4 linked regions of the Caenorhabditis elegans genome follow. Changing the gene in region 2 together with the main gene of any one other region gives a genetic interaction. Each region holds a gene or a part of one and is shown on either strand. Other genes may lie near its edges. The genes, in order: F22B3.8, efl-1, pptr-2 and lin-40.

What was found.
Region 1: of efl-1 (region 2) and F22B3.8, changing one enhances a phenotype caused by changing the other (phenotypic enhancement), as found in Caenorhabditis elegans (one large-scale study listed by BioGRID).
Region 3: of efl-1 (region 2) and pptr-2, changing one enhances a phenotype caused by changing the other (phenotypic enhancement), as found in Caenorhabditis elegans (one large-scale study listed by BioGRID).
Region 4: of efl-1 (region 2) and lin-40, changing one enhances a phenotype caused by changing the other (phenotypic enhancement), as found in Caenorhabditis elegans (one large-scale study listed by BioGRID).

Annotation. Positions count from the first base shown.
Region 1 is NC_003282.8:11,422,130-11,426,908, forward strand, and holds F22B3.8 (Tyrosine-protein kinase), read right to left. Parts: upstream 2,802-4,779; 5' UTR 2,757-2,801; coding exon 2,751-2,756; intron 2,569-2,750; coding exon 2,423-2,568; intron 2,376-2,422; coding exon 2,152-2,375; intron 2,005-2,151; coding exon 1,811-2,004; intron 1,761-1,810; coding exon 1,497-1,760; intron 1,452-1,496; coding exon 1,382-1,451; intron 1,323-1,381; coding exon 1,177-1,322; intron 1,126-1,176; coding exon 865-1,125; intron 818-864; coding exon 704-817; intron 661-703; coding exon 592-660; 3' UTR 548-591; downstream 1-547. Other genes in the region: kin-4 (non-specific serine/threonine protein kinase), read left to right, coding at 3,613-3,671.
Region 2 is NC_003283.11:16,959,652-16,967,355, reverse strand, and holds the start of efl-1 (E2F/DP family winged-helix DNA-binding domain-containing protein), read left to right. Parts: upstream 1-1,680; 5' UTR 1,681-1,682; coding exon 1,683-1,830; intron 1,831-1,876; coding exon 1,877-2,007; intron 2,008-2,054; coding exon 2,055-2,164; intron 2,165-2,822; coding exon 2,823-2,973; intron 2,974-3,761; coding exon 3,762-3,905; intron 3,906-6,958; coding exon 6,959-7,193; intron 7,194-7,704. Other genes in the region: fbxa-90 (F-box domain-containing protein), read right to left, coding at 1-324, 372-442.
Region 3 is NC_003283.11:11,027,004-11,032,761, forward strand, and holds pptr-2 (Serine/threonine protein phosphatase 2A regulatory subunit), read right to left. Parts: upstream 3,822-5,758; coding exon 3,677-3,821; intron 3,506-3,676; coding exon of another isoform or gene 3,460-3,505; intron 2,918-3,459; exon of another isoform or gene 2,802-2,917; intron 2,782-2,801; exon of another isoform or gene 2,641-2,781; intron 2,385-2,640; coding exon 2,319-2,384; intron 2,280-2,318; coding exon of another isoform or gene 2,268-2,279; coding exon 2,175-2,267; intron 2,129-2,174; coding exon 1,815-2,128; intron 1,772-1,814; coding exon 710-1,771; intron 654-709; coding exon 510-653; downstream 1-509.
Region 4 is NC_003283.11:3,703,197-3,708,033, forward strand, and holds the start of lin-40 (DIOX_N domain-containing protein), read left to right. Parts: upstream 1-1,798; 5' UTR 1,799-1,815; coding exon 1,816-1,944; intron 1,945-2,011; coding exon 2,012-2,120; intron 2,121-2,181; coding exon 2,182-4,199; intron 4,200-4,834; coding exon 4,835-4,837.

The sequences.
Region 1 (4,779 bases), on a different chromosome or scaffold from region 2:
AAATAGGTCTGTAAAAATCGGTATTTCGTGTGAAAATATGATACAGTCTTAATGGCTATTCATGGTCATTTTCTAGCAATTCGAGAAATTCGTAAAATGAAGTAGACAGAAATAATTATGATCCAGTGGTTCAAATGTGTCCCAAGGTATTTTGAAGTTTAGTTTCTAGAAATGATGTGTTTAATGATGCAAACCTTCACATTGCAAAAATGAAACTGAAGTTTGAAATTGCAGTTTGCGTCATGGCTAAAAGACCTACTCCCCTTAAATTTTCAATATTGAAAAACTGGAAAATTCGATCATTCTAGTTTTGAGCAAAACGAGAAATCAAAGTTCACACCAGAGACAGTTATTTTTTAAAAGCTGAAAAAGAAATGTTAGTCGTTCGTTGAGAGCCCAATTGTATAGAATTTGTATCAGGGGTGGGCGGTAATTGCCGTTCGGACCGGCAGTCTCAAGGTAGTCTCAAGAAAATTTTTTTTTTAACTATTCGAAAACCGAAAAATGTTTTTTGGAGCAAGTTTTCAATATTGTGCCAAGTCGAAATAATTTATTTAAAACTTAAAACACCAAGTAGATCAATTTTTGTAACTACATCTTGTACGAGTATCTCATCTTTGTCAAGTCCACCTTCAACATGTCGCCCAGGAACGTTGATACCTGAAACATCATATGGTGCACTACTATTAGAAGTTACACCTACCTCGGGCATATCGGGTCTTTTCTTATCATCAACTACGAACAGCTTTGCAGCCACATATTGTTGAAGAGCAACTGGTGCCTCTTGGTTGAATTTCACGAACAGCTCCTTCCTGATCTGAACTTTTCAAGCAATTACAACAAATATCAAGATAAAGAACTAACCAGCTCCTTAATATGACGTCCTCTGAGTTGCGTATTTTTTGGAGCAACACATTCTTGGTGTGGTTGAGCTTTCATATATGGCTCCTGTCCGTTTGCAAATATTTCCCAGATGACAAGACCAAACGTGTAGACATCGGTTTTGGTGGAATAGACGAATGAGCTCAACGTCTCTGGAGCAAGGTACCTGACAGGGATCTTCGTGGCTTTTCGCATTTTGTAGGAGCTCGCGTGCTTTGCCAAACCGAAATCGGCAATCTTTGGCTTAAATTATTCGATTATAAACGATGTTAAACTTTAAAATATAAAAAATACCGTCTTATCCGCTGAAACCAAAATGTTCCGAGTCGCCAAGTCACGGTGAATGAGCCCTTTGAAGTGAATGTACTCGAGCCCACACGACGAGCCAAGGCAAAACCGGAGCTTCTCATCCACGCTCACTTTGCTCTTTTGCAGATAGTCTTTCAATGAGCCATATGGAAAATGGTTTTCAAATAATTTTTCTAAACACTCCACTAACTTTCACAAAACTCGGAGACCAACATAATCGGCTTCTTGAGGAGGAAAACTCCGCGGAATGCGAGAACATTCTGAAATTATTTTTCTCTGCCTAAATTTTCAATCTATCGTCTCACCTTATGTCTCAACTGTAGCTGCAACCTTGCTTCGTGCATCACTTCCAAAAGAGCCGCCCTCGAATCGTCGTTTTTCACCGTCTTGACTGCCACGTCACACCACTTATGAAACTCCTTCTGATCCACACTAAACGGTTGTGCCCATCGTCCCAAGTAGACTATTCCAAAGGCACCTTCTCCCAACTTCTTTGGAGTCATATCAATTCCTTCTGCCCGGAGCTCCCAGTCTTGTAGCACGATAGGGCGTTTCAAGAATACACGTGTCTGAAAATTAAAGACCGTCTGGAAATGGCTAGAAAAGCACTCAAACATACATTGTGATAGCAAATCGGGTTGACCTTATAGTAGTTGATAAGCTCATCAATAGTCGGAAACTTGAATCGCCGCTCAATATAAAACGAGGTCCATTTGCCGGCGGTTTCTTCAATAAACAAATGCATATCCATGTTCTCTTTCTTCACATCCTCCAGATCCCCATAGAAACTTCGTGTGGTGCCGGTTTTTTGTGCTGAATAGGGAACATAATTGTAAAATCTAGAGTTTTTCAACGAACAGTGAGGGCAAGTTCCCCGCAACAGCTTGACAACTTATGAGAAGTTCATTGAATAAGTTTCCAAGCTGCTAGGAAGTTAAAAAAACAAAAAATAAAACAAACTGATATTGACGGACAGAACAAGAATGACACGAGTCAGTGGAATCGGATCAGTGGCACTTTTGTCCGGAGTCGTCGGCTTCTTCGCATTCTTCTCTGGTTGATGCGACAATCTCAGGAGAAAGTCTCCGTTCGTCTTCAACAAGATCAGTTGTAGCTCTTGGAGCACAAAACCATGGAAAAATTGGTATCTCAATAAATAATTGTCAATCATTTCATTAGTTACTCTGGAAATTAAAAAGTGTTTTGGGATATTTGGGATAAAGTTGCTCACCTTCCAACGCTTTTAGTTTTTTCTACATTTTGATACATTGAGTCGTCCGGAAAATTGATCATAACTGAGTTTGAAATACTGCTGCCATCTGTTGTCCTTTCAGTCTTTTCGGTCGTTTCACTCTTACATTCTTTTTTCTCAGATTTCTGAAAATTGAAAATTACATTTTACTATACCAGGAATACCGAATTTGTCTTTTTTTTAAATAATCATACTACAGGCGACCCATTGCAGGAAACTTATTCTAGAATTTCTGATGTCTTATTTTATTTTCAGGTAGACGCGTAGCCAGGTACAGGCAGGCTCGAACTCCCGCACTCCAACTCACCTTCATTGCAAAAATTTTACGACGATTTTGAGTAAAATTATATTGGGAAATAAATAAGTTTGCCTCGTCGTATTTGTTTTTTTTTTCAATTTTTTTCACGGGAGTTTATGTATTTAAACATACAGACAGTGATACAACTCAAATTCAGAAAACTTCCAGGAATCAAACTTCATCTGAAGGATTAACGGTTAAACCAAATTTTCCTGACAACAAAGTGCAAAGTCACTGCTCGACAGTTAGGAACAACTTCCTACTCCTGCCATAATTTAGCATCTTCCTATCAAACCTTTCATCAGCGGCAAGCAGGCAGGCGAGCACGTCTGAAAAATTCATGTCTACTATCGAACCCCTTAGAAAATATATTCATTTTTTGCAATTCACAGGATGTCAAAATATTGAAAATTGTTGCTTATAGAGTGGAAAAAAGGAGATTATTATAATAGCTGGTCTCAAATGTCAACGGCAGAAGTATTTAACTAGATTAATATTTTCAAGTTTCATGTTTTCGGATATGTCACCATTCACCATACACTTTACCATTATCTAAATCTAGAAATGTTACAGTAATCCATGAGCACACAAAATCAGAAAACGAAGAGCAACCTTGTGATGAGCTGGAAAAAGGGGATTAGTAGAGGTGAATGTTGAGAACAGGAAAGAAAGAGAGAGTGAGAGGATCAGAAATACTTTCAATTTATTTATAATTTTATTCACATCACAAATCTCTCTCCACTCAACTGCCCATAGTGATTGATAAGCTCCGGCGTTTCGCCTACTCAACGTTTCCCTCCAAAAACTCCAATCTAACTTTTTATTTTTGTTTCTAGCCAATCTTTTTTTTTTTCTATAGTTTCAGAATCAAATGCTCAATTTTGGAGTCGTTATGTATCAAAAGAAGAGCCCAAGTAATGCAACAGAAAAGTGAGTTCTGAGTGTATCTTACCAAACCGAAAAAAGTAAAAATGCAACCTATAAAACAAGATATTATCTCTCTCATTGCAATAGAAATCTCCCCCTAAAAAAAATCTCTTTGCACATGTCTCTGTCAGTTCTTTTTATGTTTTGCGTGCATAGAATTGCCGATTGTCGGATGATTTTCTTCTTCGTTCGATGAAAGCGGAAATAATAGAGAACAGCGTTTTATTGTGGTTTTTTGTTTTTTCGTGTCAAAGTTTCTGTAAAAGTCATGATGGTAGAATTTGTTCTAACTGTTTTATTCTTTTATTTTTAACTTTCAATTTAATTATAAATCAATTGCATATTATTGTCCATGTAATTAAGCTTTTAAGTTATCAAGAATAAGTTGAAAATTTTATTTGCAAATATTTTTTATGTCGAATTTCGATGCAGATAATGTTTTTTTTTTCCAAAACCGCTAAAATTATTTCAATATTCTTTATTTTTTTTCTATAGTTAAAGAAAAATTTTTTTAGAAAATTAACAAAAAAACTAAAAAATTACCAAAAGTTGTTCATTTTGATGAGAAAAAACATGAAATGTTTTCTCTGAAAAAAAAGGAAAATGGTCAAAATGTTAATATATTTTTGCAAAAATCGAATTGTTTTCGAAATATCTGAAAAACTAAAATTTTTCGGAAACGGTTTTTCTATAATACGCTTTGTATGCCAGGATACATTAAATAGAGAAAAATTGAGACAAAGTCCAATTACTGAAAGTGTAACATTTTTCTTTAAATTATGATCTAGGATAGTTTGTTAATGAAGCGATATTGCTTCTTGTATGCATACCTATGTATGTATGTCATTTCCGAAGTATTATAATATGTATCCTAATCAAGAACATGGATCATAAACATCTTTATTTTTATTATTTTATCTTTATTTTTCAACTCGATGTAAATTAAAAATCTTCACTAGTAGCCAGTAGCTCGACTTTGCAAATGCGTTCGTTTTAGATTTCGTCTTGTTTCCGATTGGCCCGGTTATTACGTAAGCACCTAAATTTTAATGTTATTGCATCTCATCACTACTTAAAAATGAGTCAAGTTTTTGAAATAGAAATACGAGCT
Region 2 (7,704 bases):
ATTGCCTTTAAAATGATTTTTCTTTCATTAAAATTGTTGGTAGCCAGCTGTATCAGAAATTCATCAACTTCAGGGTACTTCACCAAGCTCTTCAAGTCCTCCATCAACATTTCAACGTGGTTCCTTCCAGCATGTACTCGGCCACTGTTCTTATATTCAACTTGGCAGGCTCCATCAACTTGCTCATAGGTAACCCCGCCGTAGTTCTCATCGAGAATTAGTCTTGAAAATTTTTCATGAAAATTTACATGAACCGTCTTCAGATTTGGACCGAGGTTATCGATTATTGCTCGGAAGCTGTAGGACACTTTTCGAGCGATTAGCCTGAATTTTCAATGCTTTTTTTCTTTAAAAAAACAAGGAAAACTCACCTTTCCAAAGCTTCCAGATTATTCAAAATTTGTTCAATAAGTTCGATTGGCAAGTCGGAGAGTGATGACATTTTGAGAAATTTGAAGAAAAAATGAAGTGATTTCAACACAGTTCTCTGTGACTAGTGGCCTAGTTGGACAGCGCAGAGACGCAGGCGCACCAGCTGACTAGAGAGTATGAGAATCAGACACCGAAGGTGTTTCAGAACTGGCCGCCAACTTGAACCTGTAAAATGTAGGCACAGCTTGAACCCTTGGCTTTAAATAAAATGTAGTCTTAGTTTGAAACCATGTGTATTCAGACAGGCTTTTCACTGTCTTACTTCCAGAAATTTCAGGAGTCGCATACGAAATTTACGTAGCAGTCATCGAAATTTTAAACAGAAAGCTAAGACCTGCGGCTAAGCCTGAGACTAATTTTAGGCCAAATTTTTGAGCCTAAGCCTAACTATTAGTTAGACCTTCTTATGTATTTGGCGATGGCAAAACGGTAATATCGAAGATTTTCAATTATTTTTGCCATTTTTCAAACAGTTCATGTGTATTCGTATTAAAACATTGTAGGGGTCGAAACATGCGACATTTCTTTAAATTTCCTCAAAAGCTCGTATTCAAAATTTTGGTAAATTGCCAAAAATTTTTTTTTGAAGTTTTATTATGATATTTGATCTTTTTTACACTATTGGAGTAGTTTTTAACACTTTCCCCACTGACGCTACTCCACCTTTAATAACGTGGTGACGTCACAATCTTTTTGTAGATCAAACCGGCATGGGACAGCCTGACACCACGTGAAAATACCAAAGGAGGCGAAATTTTACAAATTCAATTTTTGTTAAAACTGATTTGAGCCCACAAAAACAAAAAAGTGATGGCTAAAAAAAAGTGATGGTTAATTTCACGACACTACTTGAATAACCCCATTTTATCTGAATTTACGGTTTTGCCGCCAAATACCTAACGGGGCCCAATTTTTTTGGGTTCTAACTTTTTTTGTCTTCAAATTCAAATTTCCCCTTATTATACATTCAAAAAACCACGTACTTCTTTCATTTTTATCTTCTCATTCAAGCGAAACTTTTTCCCGCGGAAATTTGAGTGCAAGCGCGCTCCACTGCACCTTTCTCGTCTGCGTCTCCACCTTTCCCATTGTCTCTAATCCGTGACGAAACCTCATCATTTCTCGCATTTTGGAGGGGAATTCAAATTGATTTCTCTTGGTTTTTCTCGTTTTTTCTTGATTTTTCTCGTTTTTCAGCTCATTTTTAACCAAAAAATCGGATTTTTCAACTAAAATTCCGCATTTCAGCCATGGAAGACTCGTACAACGACATGGAAGACCCCGGCTTCCGCCAATTATCTGACATGGAGCTTCAAAAAGCGCTGGAAATGACCAAACAGAGCTCGATAAAGAACAATTTGATGCTCGGGCTCGACAATGAGCTTGACTTTGATTTTGGTACAATATTTGTCGAATTTTAAGCCGAAAACCCCGAAATTTCCAGATTTCGACGAGGATGAGGACCTGGATCAACCACAAATGGGCACACGAGCCGATAAATCGTTGGGATTGTTGGCGAAACGATTTATTCGAATGATTCAGTACTCACCGTATGGAAGATGCGATTTGAACACTGTATTTTTGAAAAAAATCGTGAATTTCGCAATTTTCGTATTTTTTAGGCCGCCGAGGCGCTCAATGTCCGGCAAAAGCGACGAATCTACGATATTACGAATGTTCTCGAAGGAATTGGTCTTATTGAGAAAAGAAGCAAGAATATGATACAGTGGAAGTAAGAAAGTCGAATTTTCAGCAGGAAAAATGACGTTTTTCAATGAATCGGCGGAAAATCGTATTTTAACAAGAAAAATGACATGTTTAGAAAAAAAATCAATTTTGTGTCAAAATATTGATTTTTCAGCTCAAAAAGCTTAAAATGCAAGAAATTTCGGAAAATTTCAGATTTTTACGTGAAAAATCGCATTTTCAGCCAAAAAATGGCGCTTTCCGGCAAAATGGATGAAAATCACATTTTTTGGAATATAGCTCCTATTTCCTGTAAAAATCGATAAATTCGATTTCTAAAACACTAATTTTTGAGATTTTTCACCGAAACAAATCGAATTTTCATATGAAAATTTCATTTTTGACACAAAATCACTTTTTAAAGTTAAATTTTCAATTCAAAGCTCAATTTTGTGGCAAAATCCTTATTTTTCAGCTTAAAAACATGAAAATTGCTGAAAATTTCAGATTTTTACGTGGAAAATCGGGTTTTCAGCCAGAAAACACAAGAAAAGGTCATTTTTAACACAAAATTACATTTTCAAAGCCAATTTTTCTATAATAGCCTCAATTTCGCTCCAATTTCGGTGAAAATCTCTATTTTCCGGCTCAAAAACCGCTTTTTTGCACATTTTTCCCCGGAAAACTCAATTTTTTGTTTTCAGAGGCGGTGATTTTATGCTAAACGTGAAGGAAGGGAAACGACAATCGGCCACAACAGAAGAAGAAGATCGAATGGAACAATTAAAAGCTGAAATTGAGCAATTAAATAAGGAAGAAGAGCTCATTGAGCAACGTCAAAGATGGCTTCAGCAGGTAGCGAATTTCCAGAAAATTTGATGAAAAATTTGCTGAAAATCGATGAAAATTGAGCCAAATTTACGCAAAAATTGGCTGAAAAATGACCAAAAATTTCAGAAAAATTCAGCCGAAAATTGAGAATTATTTGCTGAAAGTCGCTAAAAATTTGATCAAAATTGAGCAAAAACTGGCTAATTTTGATAGAAAATTGAGCAAAAATCACTGGAAATAAGGCTGGAAATTGGAAAAAATTTAACCAAAAAGTCCTGAAAAAAATAGAAAAATTCAGTCGAAAATTCTGGAAAAATATGGCTGAACATCATTAAAAATTGAGCCGAAATTTAGAAATAATGGGGCTGAAAATCGCTGAAAAAAGCTGAAAATTTGACTTAACTTCCTGAAAAATTAGTCTGAAAATCGTTGAAAACTGCTGAAATTTTGCCAAAATTTCCTCCAATTTTCTGAAAAAAATATGGATGAAATTTCGAGAAAATCAAGATAAAAATGGTGCCAAAATGATGAAAATTTTGTAAAATAAATTCTGGAAATTTCGGCTAAAAATTGCTTGAAATTGGTCCAAAACTGCTGAAATTTGGCAGAAAATTTCTTAAAAATTCAGTCAAAACTTCTGGAAAATTCGCTGAAAAATGGTCAAAAATTCATTAAAATTGCGGACAATTTTTCTGAAAATTTATAGGAAATTTCAGGCAATCTGAGCCAAATTTTCCACAATTTTTTTTTGAAATTTTTGGTCAATTTTTCGACAGTTTTAAGCCAAAACCGCTGAAATTCTCAAATTTCAGAGCCTCCGAAACATGACAGAATCCGTGGAGAACAACAAGCTCAGCTATGTGCTCCGTTCACAGCTCGCCGAGATTCAAGGCTCAGATCTTACGATTGGAATTCAAACGAGAGTCGGCACACAAGTTCGGCTCAGTGATCCGGAGGTAGAGAAGAAAATGACGCGAAAATTGGAATTTTCAATGAAAATTTAATGGAAAAACCTGGAAAATTGTGGAAAATTCATATTTTTCTTGGAAAAAACGGGTACAAAACCCGATTTTAACTGAAAAAAACGCTGATTTTTGCTCAAAATTAATTCTTTTTAAGAATTTTCGATGAGAAAAATGAATTTTTTAATTTAAAATACATAAAAAACTAGAAGACTGTCCAAAAACCGAAATTTCTGTCAAAAAAGTGTAAAAACTTCTCCTCGTGGAGTACACGAGCTGCGTAAATCTACGCAATATTTTTCTGTGTTTTTTGTATGCAAATTTGTAAAAAAAATATCAAAAAAATAAATTTTTGGCTGAAAAACGGTGAAACATAATTTTAAACAATATTTAAATACAAATTATTTGTTCTAAAAATTTTTTAAAAATTCTTAAATTTCCCTGATTTTTAGCAAAAATAACGAAAATTCTTCAAAAAATTTGATTTTCTGCTAAAAAAAGTGTAAAAGCCTCCCCTCGGGGAGTACACGGGCTGCGTAAATCTACACAAATAATTTTTTTCAGCTAAAAATTGATAAAACGAAAAAATTAAATAAAAATGTTAAAAAAAAAGAAGAAACTTTTTCAATTTTTAGAAAAAAAAAAGAAAAAAAAAGCTCCTTTTTCCAAAAAAAAGCAGAATTTTTTTTTGTAAATTTCCCAAAATTTGGCGAGTTTTCATTTTTTTTTTGTTGTAAATTTGACGATTTTCGTAAAACTGTCGTAAAATACAAAAAAATAGACTTTTTTTCGAAATATTTTGTTAAAAATCAGAAAAAAAATTTTTTTTAATTGATTTTAAAATTCACAGAATTTTTTTCGATAAATTTCAGAAAATTCCTGAAAAAACTGAAAAAGATTTTCAAAAAAAAAAACGCAATTTTCGCTCTATTTGGCTCTAAAAAACAAGACAATTAAACAAAAATCAGAATAAAAATTTTAAAAAAATTGTTTATAAAATTTTTGATAAATTTTAGAAAATTTCGGAAAAATCTTCTTTTTTTTCAAAAAAAAAATCGAACATTTTCAATTTTTATTTTCCCCCATTTTTTCCAATGAAATTAAAATTGCAGCAAGTCGATTTTTGATCGAAAAAAAGCATTATTTCTATGTGAAATGCATAAAAACCTATTACGGGAACAATAAATCATGAGAATGCGTACTTGGTGCATTTTATTTGACGCGCGATATCTCTTAGCGAAAACTACATACAGTAAATGCTTAAATATCTATTGTTATTTGAGTTCTTACTGTAGTTTTCGCTAAGAGATATCGCGCGTCAAATAAAATGCACCAAGTACGCATTCTCATGATATATTGTTCCCGTAATAGAAGACTGCCCAAAAACTGAATCTTCTGTCAAAAAAGTGTAAAAGCTTGTCCTCGGGGACTACGAGCTGCGTAAATCTACACAATATTTTCCTGTTTTTTTTCTCAATTTTCGCTTTTTTTTTTGTATGCAAATTTGTAAAAAATATCAACAAAAATTTTTTTTTGGCTGAAGAACGACGAAAAATAATTTTAAACAATTTACAAATCATTTGTTCTAAAAAATTTTTTTTAAATCACACTTGTTTCTTAAATTTCCCTGATTTTTAGCAAAAATAACGAACATTCTTCAAAAAATTTGATTTTCTGCTGAAAAAGTGTAAAAGCCTCTCCTCGGGGAGTACACGAGCTGCGTAAATCTACACAAATAATTTTTTTTTTGGATAAAAAATTGATAAAACGAAAAAATTAAATAAAAACGTAAAAAAAAGAAGAAACATTTTCAATTTTTAGAAAAAAAAAAAAGGAAAAAAATGCTCTTTTTTTCCAAAAAAAAAGCAGAATTTTTTTGTAAATTTCCCAAAATTTGGCGAGTTTTCATTTTTTTTTTGTTGTAAATTTGACGATTTTCGTAAAACTGTCGTAAAATACAAAAAAATAGACTTTTTTTCAAAATATTTTGTTAAAAACACAAAATTTTGTAAAAAATCCGAACAAAAATTATTAAAAAATTCATAGAATTTTTTTTGATAAATTTCAAAAAATTCCTGAAAAAACTGAAAAAGATTTTCAAAAAAAAACGCAATTTTCGCTCTATTTGGCTCTAAAAAACAAGACAAATTAAAAAATATCAGAATAAAAATTTTTAAAAAAATTGTTTATAAAATTTTTGATAAATTTTAGAAAATTCCGGAAAAATCTTCTTTTTTTTCAAAAAAAAATTTTCAATTTTTATTTTCCCCCATTTTTTCCAATGAAATTTTAAAAAAATTGCAGAAAGTCGATTTTTGATCGAAAAAAAGCATTATTTCTATGTGAAATGCATAAAAACCTAGAAAACTGTCCAAAAACCGAAATTTCTGCCAAAAAAACTAAAAACTTCTCTTCGGGGACTACACAAGCTGCGTAAATCTACACAAAAAATTTTTGTGTTTTTTTTTTCTCAGTTTTCGCTTTTTTTGTATGCAAATTTGTAAAAAAGTATTTAAAAAATAAATTTTTGGCTGAAAAACGACGAAAAATAAATTCTAAAAATTTACAAATTATTTGTTCTAAAAGATTTTGAAAAAATTACACTTGTTTCTTAAATTCAGCAAAAGCAGAATTTTTTTGTAAATTTCGCACAATTTGGCGGTTTTTTAATGGAAATTTGACGATTTTCATAAAATTGTCGTAAAATACAAAAAAAATAGTTTTTTTTCAAAATATTTTGTTAAAAATCAGAAAAAAAATTTTTTTTAATTGATTTTAAAATTCACAGAATTTTTTTTCGATAAATTTCAGAAAATTCCTGAAAAAACTGAAAAAGATTTTCAAAAAAAAAAACGCAATTTTCGCTCTATTTGGCTCTAAAAAACAAGACAATTAAAAAAAAATCAGAATAAAAATTTTAAAAAAATTGTTTATAAAATTTTTGATAAATTTTAGAAAATTCCGGAAAAAATTTTTTTTTTCAACAAAAAATCGAAAATTTTCAATTTTTATTTTTTCCCCATTTTTTCCAATAAAAAAAATTGCAGCAAGTCGAGATACACGGTGGACCATCTTGGTGTTACCTGAAAGATCCCTCTGGACCCCTCCGAGCCGCCATCGTTTCCAACCATGAGCTACATGATTTTGTACAGAGAGAACGAGCAAAACGGCCTGGTGAAGAGCACGTTGACGCTGATGCTCCAGATGAAATGATGGATGATTCAAGATATCGGAATCGGCGGACGATCAATGATGATGAAATGTTTGGTTTTGAGCAGAAAGGTGCTGCTGAATTGCTGGAAATTTTGCTTATTTTTTAAAGCAGAATTTTGAGAAAAAATGGATTTTTTTCACTGAAAGTAGCTAAAAAATAGCTTAAAAATGAAGAATTTTGAAAAAAAAAATTGGAAAAATCATCATTTTTTCCAAGAAAACACCAAAAAAACTGGACTTTTATGGACGTTTTTTCGAAGCTAAAAAATCCAAAAAATTTACTTTTTCTGATAAAAAACATTTTCCTTTTGTTTTCTGCACCGTTTTCTAGAGTTTTTCGAATCGAAAAATAATTCTCAGATTTTTTCACATGAAAATTTGAAATTTAAGCGAAAAAAACATCAAAACTGTTTTTTAACAAAAAAAATTGAAAAAAAAAACCGGAAAACCTAGAAATCCGCCAAAAAATTTGAGAAAATTTTCACAAAAAAAAGCATAAACTGAATTACATAAAATTCTTTTAAAAATTACAGAAAAACTGGGAAAATTTGGGAAAATTACCTCTTCTTTTTAATTTTAT
Region 3 (5,758 bases), 5.9 Mb from region 2:
ATTTCGTGTATTTCATACATAAGTGCATATTGATGTGCAAAGAGTGGGGTTAGCATTCGAAAAAGAACATATAAAGAAGGATTTGGATGAAATGAGCCAAACCCCTCGTAAACCTTCTGCCTAATATATATTCCCATGATTATTCCTATGCAGATTTTAATGTATTTCACATGGCTTCTCGATTCATTTATAACATCTAAATCCAAATCACTACCAAAATGGGGGAAATTATTACACAATGAAAAGTCGCATTTGGATTTGCGATGATGGTGAGGAGAGATGGAATTTATGGTGCATATTGATAAAACTGAAATAAGTTTCGAAATATTTACAGGTACGCAAACATAGATGTGATTAAGGGCAATTTTGGAGAGCAATAAAACGGTGATAAGGGTCATGGAATGGTCAATATTTTAAGAAAGGAACGGAAACTGGGTAAGGAAGTCGAATCATCGTATAATAAACCCGGCACAACATGGAGAAATTGGCACCCGTTGAAGTCTTCTGCATCACTGTTCGTCGGTGCTAGTCACTTTCTTCAAAAATGGATCGTGACGCTTGTACTCGCCTAAAGCTCTCGTCGTTTGCTCATCTGGAGGGAAATCGGATTGTTTGTGGTTGGGTCCGAAATCCATATCGTTTTTCATCGAGCTCTGTAATGATTCGTTATTGTACAAAAAAAAAATATTTCTAGGTTTTTGTAACTTACCACTCCTACAGCATTTTTCAGAATTTCATCCTTGCTAAGCACAGTTGAAGTCTTCATATTCTCGTCAACTCCATTCTGCTGACGCGAGCTGATGATTTCATCTGGATTAAATCGAGCAAATAGTGCTTTAACTTCAACATATTGCGGGTTTCCCATTGCCTGTTTCTCAATATTGTTCCAGATGCGTTCTTTTTCTTCATTCAATGTCTTTTCTTGAACTCGATCTTTCTGATAAGCTTGGGAACACTCGTCAAACAGTTTTTGATTCATTTCCATGAACATCTTGAGGGCGTTGTAGATAAGTCCATGAATCGTTTTATTCCAATGTGACTTGCTGTTTTTGAAAAGAACAGGGAACATTATTGGAATTATCACACGAGCATTGTCCGCTACTAATGACATCACATATTCATTATTCCAATAGTAGAGAGCTCGTTCGGCAACTTGGAAGTGTGGACTGCTGACACAGCGAGCAATTTGTGAGAACAATGGAGTCATGATTTTTTGGAACTCATTCGGCTCTATCACATCGAGGACTTCTTCCAATTCATTCAGGAACATCACTTCCTTGGGACTATGTTGTTTTGGCCAGAAGCGTAGCATCCCACTGATTACAGGCTCTGTCAGTGATGAGTCTTTTTCAATGAACTGTACGACACAGTACGCGAGTTGAGGATGATATACAGATAATGATTTGACCTTGTGTAGCGGAAGAAGAACTCGGAGCAAGAAAGTTTTGTGTTCCTCTTTCAAGGGAAGAGCGAATCCATTGATAATGCTACCTAGAATCTCGAGTAATTCAGCAATCCCGTTGTGCCTCTCAGTTTCGTAGATGAACGAGTAGAAAATGTTGTTGATTTGCTTCCGAATGTAAGCACGATGTCCGAGGAACTTTCCATAAATTCGATGTAAAGTTGTCTTCAGAAAGTCACGTTCACGTGGATCTTCACTGTCCATAATCATGAGAAGACGAAGAATGAAATTTTGATCAATGTAACGTTTTGCAACTTGAGATTGAAAATCGGGGCACTCCAGGAATCTCAGGAAAAACTCGTAGACGAGCTGAAAATATTTACTTTAAATAAGAGCAGAAAATAAATATTACCTGCAGATGTGGCCAGGCAGCTTCTAATGTTGGTTCGTCTTCATCGGGGTCAAATTCAGCACCAATTGGATTGGTCGGTGGGCTCAAAGGACGGAAAAGATTAGTGGAGAACATGCCGATAGCTTCTGGATAGACAGCATCAGATAGCGATCCTTTTGGAGCTCCGGAAACGTGGTCGACGAGTTCATTTAGAGCTGCCCGTTTGACTTCTTTGAATTTTAAATCGCTGAGAGCATCATTGGCAAAGTCAAAAACAACGCAGCATTGTCGAAGTTTTTGAATGAACAGTGTTTCTCTCTCGCTCGGATCCGCATCTAAAAACGAGTTTATCAATACGGTAATTAAAAAAAACATTATTACCTTTGATAGCTGGAAGTCTTTGCAGCTCTCTGTTTTGTGAAATGTTGAACATGCTACTTGATTGGCGGCGCTCTCTTCGCGGTATCACTGGCCCTGAAATTAAATCTGTCTCTATAGTTAATTAGTCTTCGTTTAAACACTAACCTCCTCCGTACGTGTTTGTTCGGCCAATATTTGTTGGTGGTGGTGCATCTGCAGGAATCATATCTCCTAGAAATGATAAATATGAGGGCCGAAAATGGAAAAATCAATGATTGTGATTCAAAAAAAAATTTATCCGAGAGGAGTACACTAGTGGTGGACTAACTATCCCATTTTCGATTTCTGCGGCCTCGTCGAGCATTTACGCGGGAAATTCAAATTCAAATGTACACTACAAAAGTTGTTTCGTGAAGTTGGGGAAATAGCGAAATGTCTAAGCGTTTGTAAGAAAATATCTACTATGAACAAAATAATATTTTCTCCAGAACACTAAAATGTTTTTTTCTTTGGTATGCGCTGCAAAAAGACTACAGGAAAGGCGTAACAAACCAAAAAAACACAATCAAACTAATTGAGCTGGAGTCCTAATCCGTTCCAACTATCCTATTCGAATTATTTCTAATACCTTCTTCCGTGATACAAAATAACGCGAGAAATAGAAGAAGAGTAGGGTAAATTGATGATAGAAAAGAAATCTAAAGGAGCAAGACAGGCGCAGAGAAGAAAGAAGGTCGTTTTTTCTGTGAGAAATAAAGAAAATGGGGGGGGGGGGGCAAAAAGAAGAAGAGTTTGAAGGAGTTTGTGGAAAAGTTGGACATCAATAGTGTGCCTTGAGGGCTCACAGATTTCTTGTTGTTGGTTGGATGGCTTGTTCCTCCCCCATCTAACTGATAAATATTTTCACTCAATATCTTCATAAAATGTAGTGCATTTGATTTCAGATCCGATACATTTCTACTTATTTATACTTTGCATCCATTTCAGTTATTCAAAAAAATGCAAGTGGTCAAAAACCTGCCTACCTCGAGAACTATAAGATGCTGAAAGGGAGGACAGCTTCAAAAATTATTTACTGAAGAAAACTCTAATCAAAACCTTAATCTCGAATCATGTTGTTTTTGTTTCCGAATAGTATATGTTTTCATGATAAAATTCGACACGCCGTAATCTAAACTTTATAGGCTCGCTGTATTGTCTTCACAGGGTCTCACAACGATCTCCGCTCGTTTCGAAGAATTCTCAAAACTCTACGATAGGAACCACTCTTACTCCTAAATGTTCTCAAATAATTTAGACTACTTACTCGTTTTCTGTCGTCTTTTCTTTGATCTCTGTGGCATTTTATTCATTGCTATCTTTGGTTGATGGTTGAAATTACTCGATGGTTAGAAAGAAATGATGAAAAATTATGCTCTCGGAGAACCGTGGAAGAATATAGATTCACGTGAGATTTTATTGAAATTGACTTTTTTAAAATTTTGTGTTATCATCTTTCCCGAATAATCAAAACATTAATTTACCTCCAACATCTTCTGTTCGGATCGTAGGAATTGTAGATGCCTTACTGCTTCCAGCACCGTCATCTTTCATTGATTTCTTATCCTTCTCTTTGTCCTTTTTCTCTGATTTCCCATTTTCCTTGTCCTTCTTCTTTGATCTCAACATTGCGGATGCGGAGCCGACCGCCTGAAATTAACAACATGAAAAATTCAATAAAAGTATGAAGAGACCTTTAAAAAATTAAAAAGAGAATACAAGGGACAACAAACTGAGCAAGTGACCATTTTTCATTGTTTCAAAAGTGGAAAAACGTTGTTGACAAGAGATATTATGTTTTCAAAGCAACGGGGAAAAACTGAGAACACACATGATAACATGCACATATGCACCCAAATCTGTTTTTTAGAAAACTACAGTAACCTATGTAATAAATGCAATCTCAAGCAGTATGATTAACTGTAGGAGAGGAATTAATGGAATGCAAAACCATGGAATTCCATGTGGCTCTAACTAACAAAAAATGACATCACTACATGAATGAGAAAAATCATCTGTCTTTACTTAAAAACCATCGTCACTTCGGAAATCGGAAGACGAAAAATAAAAAGCGCGGAGCAAACGGCGCCGTCCCTCTTCCCACGCTTTGTCGTTTTTTCCTACAGCTCGTCTTCTGCTTTTTCAGCGCAATTTTCGATTAACCAGCCCACTTCTTTTCTCTCGTTTTTTCCTTAAAGATCGAGCTTCATCCTCTTCAATTTCCAATTACTGCTGCTCTTTTGAGAGTAAAAGAGTAGACGATGTCAAGGATCAGATTCTGATGAAAAAAAGAGAGCAGGAAGAATTTGGCAGTCTTACTCGTAAGATACAAATACTTGACATATAAGTATACGAAATATTTTATGGGTTTGCCAAAAGTGAACCCATGAAGCAAAGAAAATAGCGGTCGTGCTGGATTGCTGAAAAACAGGTGAAATTGTGTGGTGCCCCCAACATAGAAACAAGCAATTAGAATTCTGTTGTGGCTCACATATCGCGTGTTTTTTGACAAGCAAAATGAGAAAAGGCGTTTTCGTAAGAAAGCAGAAATAACTGGTGAAAAAACGAGTAATAAATCTAGGAACTTTTTTTAATATATTCTATACGAATATGCAATGAATTGTAGCTGATCACAGACAAAAAATTGATGTACTTTTGTGCACCGAGTTTTTTTTTTCTAGATTTAAGACTTTTTCTGAATTTAACATTCTATTTTTCCTTGAAGGTTCAGTGATCAAGTGATGCCATTGCAAGTAATACGATAAAAAAAATAAATTAGAAAGGATAAAAACGGTCAGAAGCATCGTGCCGTCTTGAATCAAGTTTTAAACTAATTAATTTTCTAAACAAGCTTAAAATGTTTTTATTCATTTTTATCTGGTTATTTGTGTGAACACAGATGATTCACCGCTTGAAAAATACTTATCGACACCAATAATTTAGATGCGTTTGTGTTTTAATATTATAGATTTAGAATTCGAAATATTCATACATGCCCCATTTATAAAGCTTTAAAAGTTGAACCACATCGTACGCTTGTAAACTCCGCCGGCGTCTGCGGAACAAAAAAGTCCAAGAATCGATTGATAAATTTCGAGAGTAATTATATAAATAGAAAACTTAGCCAGCAACTAATTAATGAATAAGTCCCTTCTAACTGTTGGGATTTTTAGGGTATTGTTTTAAACTATCTCTAATTATAATGAACCAATTTTTATCCACTTTTCAATTATATTTAAAAAAACGGGTTTCATCGAAGCTGAAACAAGTAAGACTCTAGAAAAACAAAATATTCAACATTGCCGTTCCTAGACACAAAAACATACATTTTTGTTAGAAATCGTTAAAAACTGACACGTGATGACGGAGGGTGAAACTAGTTGAAGAAATGAAATCTTGTCCCGGGGTCTGGGCGCCAGTATTGGCATCATATTTCTGTTTTGAAAATCAAAGAGCACAAAGGAATTGGCTATTGTGAGTATATGCATGGCATTGAACCAGCGTAAAATCCCAAAGTCCCTTACGTGCGGAAATAATGCTCATCCGTCTTCAATAGTCTATTGGAA
Region 4 (4,837 bases), about 13 Mb from region 2:
TCTGTCGTCTCTTCGATCTGCACACTCTCTCGTTGTCCCACTCTCTGTCACTCTCTCACTCTCTCACTGTGGGGGCCTATAACTCGGCGATGTACTAAATTTGAATGTAGTGTATGCCGCCGCGTTTTTCTGCAATTTATATCGAAAGCGGTCGATATTTTCTCGATCGTCCCGACTTACAAGCCTATTTTGCCCTTTTCAGCCTTGTAGGACTGTTTTGAACTGGATTTTTTCAATTGCATTTCAAAAAAATAGGAAAATCTGAAATTTTGCCGATTTTCTAGCATTTTTAGAATTTTTTGCTACGTTTTCAGTAAGTTTTTATGATTTTTACGTCAAAATTGGCAATTTAGCTGAAATTCATAAATTTCGGCATAAAAATCATAAAAAAACAACGGGAAATTTATCAAAAAATACGAAAAATTCCTGAAAATCGGCAAATTTCCGATTTTGCCGGCAAAATTTTTGATTCCAAGCGGTTTTAAATGGGTTCACTAAATTCTGAGAATGCTGCACAACACATTTGACGAGCAAAATATCTCGTAGCGAAAACTACAGTAATTCTTTAAATGACTACTGTGCGCGCTGGTGTCGATTTACGGGCTTGATTTTCGTAAATCGACACAAGCACTACAGTAGTAATTTAAAGGATTACTGTAGTTTTCTTTTTCGCTACGAGATATTTTGCGCGTCAAATATGTTGTGCAATATGCATTCACTAGAATTTTGTGTTCCCGTAATGGTACCTTTAATAAGTCGGGGGAGCATCCTTCCTGCAGCCTCTTCTCTCTTTTCTTTATATCTCTCGCTCTCTCACTCGTCTCCATTCTGCCCGTCCGTCTGCGTCTCCGTGGTCTCAGTACTATTTCCGACGCTTTAACCATTCTTCCGAGTGACCCCTCCCCACCTATGTCTTCGTCTCTCCCTCTGCTGCTGCTGCTGCTGGACGTTCCTCTTGTTTCTGCGTCTCTCCATGTCTCTCGTTGTCTGAATCTATCCTTTTTTCTAGTTGTCACGGCGATTTATCCGAAAGAGAAGGACCGTTTTCTGGATTTTTTTTGAAATTTAATTTAATTTTTAAAAAACTAATTAATTTCCAATTTTAAAAAATCTATTTTGTTCTTTTTCAAAAAAAATTTTAATAGCGCAAAAAATGCGGATAATTTTTAATTATTTTTTCACTTTTCAGATGATATCGATTTTGTGCACTCAAAAATTATTCGAATTTCTCTATTTTCCGCTTAAAGCTAAAAAATTTCAAAAAATTAATGCTTTTTTTACCGAATTTAGAGTTTTCGCACTGTCTCCTCATTTTTAGTATTTTGGTTATTATCCGGACGCGAAATATTGCGCTTTTTGCTCCAAAAATACGATACCGGGTCTCGACACGACAATTTTTTGTTAAATTCGAACAGGTGTGCGCCTTTAAAGAGTACTATAATTTCAAATTTTCGTTTCCCCGGAATTTCAATCGATTATTCCTAGTTTTTCTGAATTTGAACAAATCGGTGAGAAAGCCTTCGAAAAATCAATAAGAAAAATTCCGCAGAAACGAAAAGTTTGAAATTACAGTACTCTTTAAAGGCGCGCACTTTTTCGCACCACATTTAACAAAAAATTGTCGCTTCGAGACCATTTTTAAAGCAGAAATCGCGAAATTTTGTGCTTTTTGGGCGAAAATGGAGAAATTTAAATAATTTTGATAGCAAAATAAAAACATTTTTTTAATGTAATTTCTCGAATTTTCGACTTTTCGACTAATTCGACTTTTCCCCAAAAAATCCTCCAATTTTTGCAGAGCTTTAACGGGTCACGATGAGCTCATCATCGTTGTCGTCAACATCAACTCGAGTCACGTACGCCGTCGGCGATTTTGTCTATTTCGACGACACGTCGGCCACCGACGCTCCATATCAGATCCGCAAAATCGAGGAGCTTGTCAAGGTTAGATTAGTTGGCTGGAAAAAAAGCCCCAAAAGCCTGAAAAAGCCCAAAATTTCTCAATTTTCAGACAGAAAAGGGCGGCGTGGATGCGCGATGCGTCGTCTACCTCCGACGACGTGACATTCCACAACATTTGCTGAAAATTGCCGATCAAGCGCAGAGGCGATTCGATAATTGTGAGCTTTTCCCCAGCTTACTTTATTTGAAAATATTAAAATTCAATTCAATTTTTTTCAGATTACGAAGTGGATAAGAAGAAGCCCGAGAATTTTACCACAAAAGGATTTATCGTTGTCAATGGAGCTTCTGAAGCTGCTCCAGAAGCTGCTCCAGAAGCCACCGAAGCTTCTGCGGAGACGTCTGAAACAAAAGTGAAGGAAGATACTGATGACGTGGCAGAGAAAATGGAAGAGGACGAAGAATGCCCGGCCCCGGTTGGGCAGGGAAGAACCAGCTCGACTGAGGAGCCATCGGCGTCGGATGCTCCAGCAGCGACCGCAAAGGACAAAAAAGAAGAAAAAGAAGCCAAGGAAAACGCGAAAAACCTCAAGGAGACTGCCGAAGCAGAAGCCACGAAGCTCATTGACTGGGGTGATGGAGGCCTTCCGCTCGGAGTCGACAAGCTCACCCCGGATCAGAGGCTGAAGCTCCGACAGCATGAGATCTTTATGACGAGGCAATCGGAGATCCTTCCAGCAGCGGCGATTCGTGGAAAGTGTCGAGTCGTTCTTCTGGGAGATGGTGAAGAGGCTCAGAACTACCTGCCTCTGGATGATACCTTCTATCATTCCCTTGTCTATGACCCGAATGCGCAGACTTTGCTGGCTGATAAGGGTGCTATTAGGGTTGGCGAGAAGTATCAGGCGGTGGTGGATGAGTGGATGGAGCCCGCCGATCGGGAGGCGAAGGAGGCGAAGGTGCTGGCCGAGAAGGTTAAGAAGGAGGAAGAGGAGGCAAAGTTGAAGGCTGAAGCCGAGGAGGACACTGAGAATGATGGGTTGACGATCGCCGAGGATGAGGAGATGCCGGAGCTGAAGAATGAGGAAAAGGAAGAGACCAAGGTGGAAGAGGAAGCTACCACCACCGATTCCGAAGGTGAAGTAGGTGAAGTCCTCGTCTGGCACCCGCACCACGCTCTCACCGACCGTGACATTGATCAGTACATGATTGTGGCCCGATCAGTCGGCCTATTCGCCCGAGCCATCGATGGAGCTTCCGCGCCGAAGCTTCCGACTCTTCAGCTAGCCGCCGCCTTCGCCTCCCGTGACGTCACCATCTTCCACGCCCACGCGATCCTTCATCAGGCCAACTATGATGTCGGGCAGGCTGTCAAGTACCTGGTCCCAGTGGCCTCTCGAGACACGTACCCGTGCCAGGTCGATGATTCAAGCGGCCTGCAGACTAAGACCCTTGGCGGACCGATTTTGTGTCGGGATCAGCTGGAAGAGTGGTCGACGCCCGAGATGAATCTGTTCGAGGATGCGCTGGATAAGGTGGGCAAGGATTTCAATGAGATCCGCGCCGAGTACCTTCCGTGGAAGTCGATTCGGGACATTGTCGAGTACTATTACCTTATGAAGGCCTCCAATCGATACACAGATCGCAAGAAGAACAAGCCATCGGCGGGTGGTGGAAGCTCGACGACGACGGACGAGAAGTTCACCAACATCTACATTCCGCCGTTCAACAAGCCGATCGCCGCCTCGATTCTTCCGTACAACACTAGCCAGACGACGCTGATGAACAACGACAATCCGTGTGAGAATTGCGGGACGCTGGACGCTCTCAACTGGTATCAGTGGGGAGGTGTCGGCGATAAGAAGGTTCTGTGCTCGACGTGTTGGATTCAGTGGAAGAAGTTCGCCGGGCTCAATCAGAAGCACGAGCTCGAGCGGTTCGACAAGACGCGGCCGCCACCGGTGGAGCCGGTAGCGCCGACGCCAGCGGCCTCAAATGGAACTCCAGCTTCTCAGAAGGCGGCTGCCACGGCGGCGGTGAACACGTTGACTCCACAACAACAGCAGCAGCAGCGCGCTGCCGCCGCCAACATGCTCATGACGCTGAACAGTGGTGATAAGCAGAATTTGTTGAATGTGGCAAAGGAGGCGCTGGCACGTGGCCAAATCACCCAGGAGCAATTTCTACAGCTACAGAAGAATTTCGCTCAGAAAATCCAGGCACAAATTCAACAACAGATTCAGCAGCAGCAACAGCGGCAGGCGCAAACGACGCCGCAAGTGGTCGCAACGCCCAGGGTAAGGATTGGTTGAAAATTGCACGAAAAATCAAAAAAAAAAATTGAAAAACTCAATTTTGGCCAAATTCCCACCAAAATGAGCTACGACCAATAAATGATTCGCTCCGCCCATTTTTCAACCAATCAGCGTCGTCGAATACCGCACATTCCTATGATTGGTTGGAAAATGGGTGGAGCTAATCGCTGATTGGTCGCAGGTCTAATTTCGGAGGAAACTCGGCCAAAATGGTAAAAAGCTCAATTTAGGCTTAATTCTCTTCAAAATGAGAACTGCGACCAATCAGCGATTCGCTCCGCCCAATTTCAAACCAACCAGCGCCGCGCATTCCTCTGATTGGTTGAAAAATGGGCGGAGCTAATCGCTGATTGGTCGCAGGTCTTATTTTGGAGGAAACTCGGCCAAAATGGTAAAAAGCTCAATATAGGCCTAATTCTCTTCAAAATGAGAACTGCGACCAATCAGCGATTCGCTCCGCCCAATTTCAAACCAACCAGCGCCGCACATTCCTCTGATTGGTTGAAAAATGGGCGGAGCTAATCGCTGATTGGTCGTAACTCTCATTATATAGAAAACTGAGCCAAAATCTTTAAAAAACTGCATTTTTTTCGTTTTTAAACCCAAATTTTTTCCAGAAA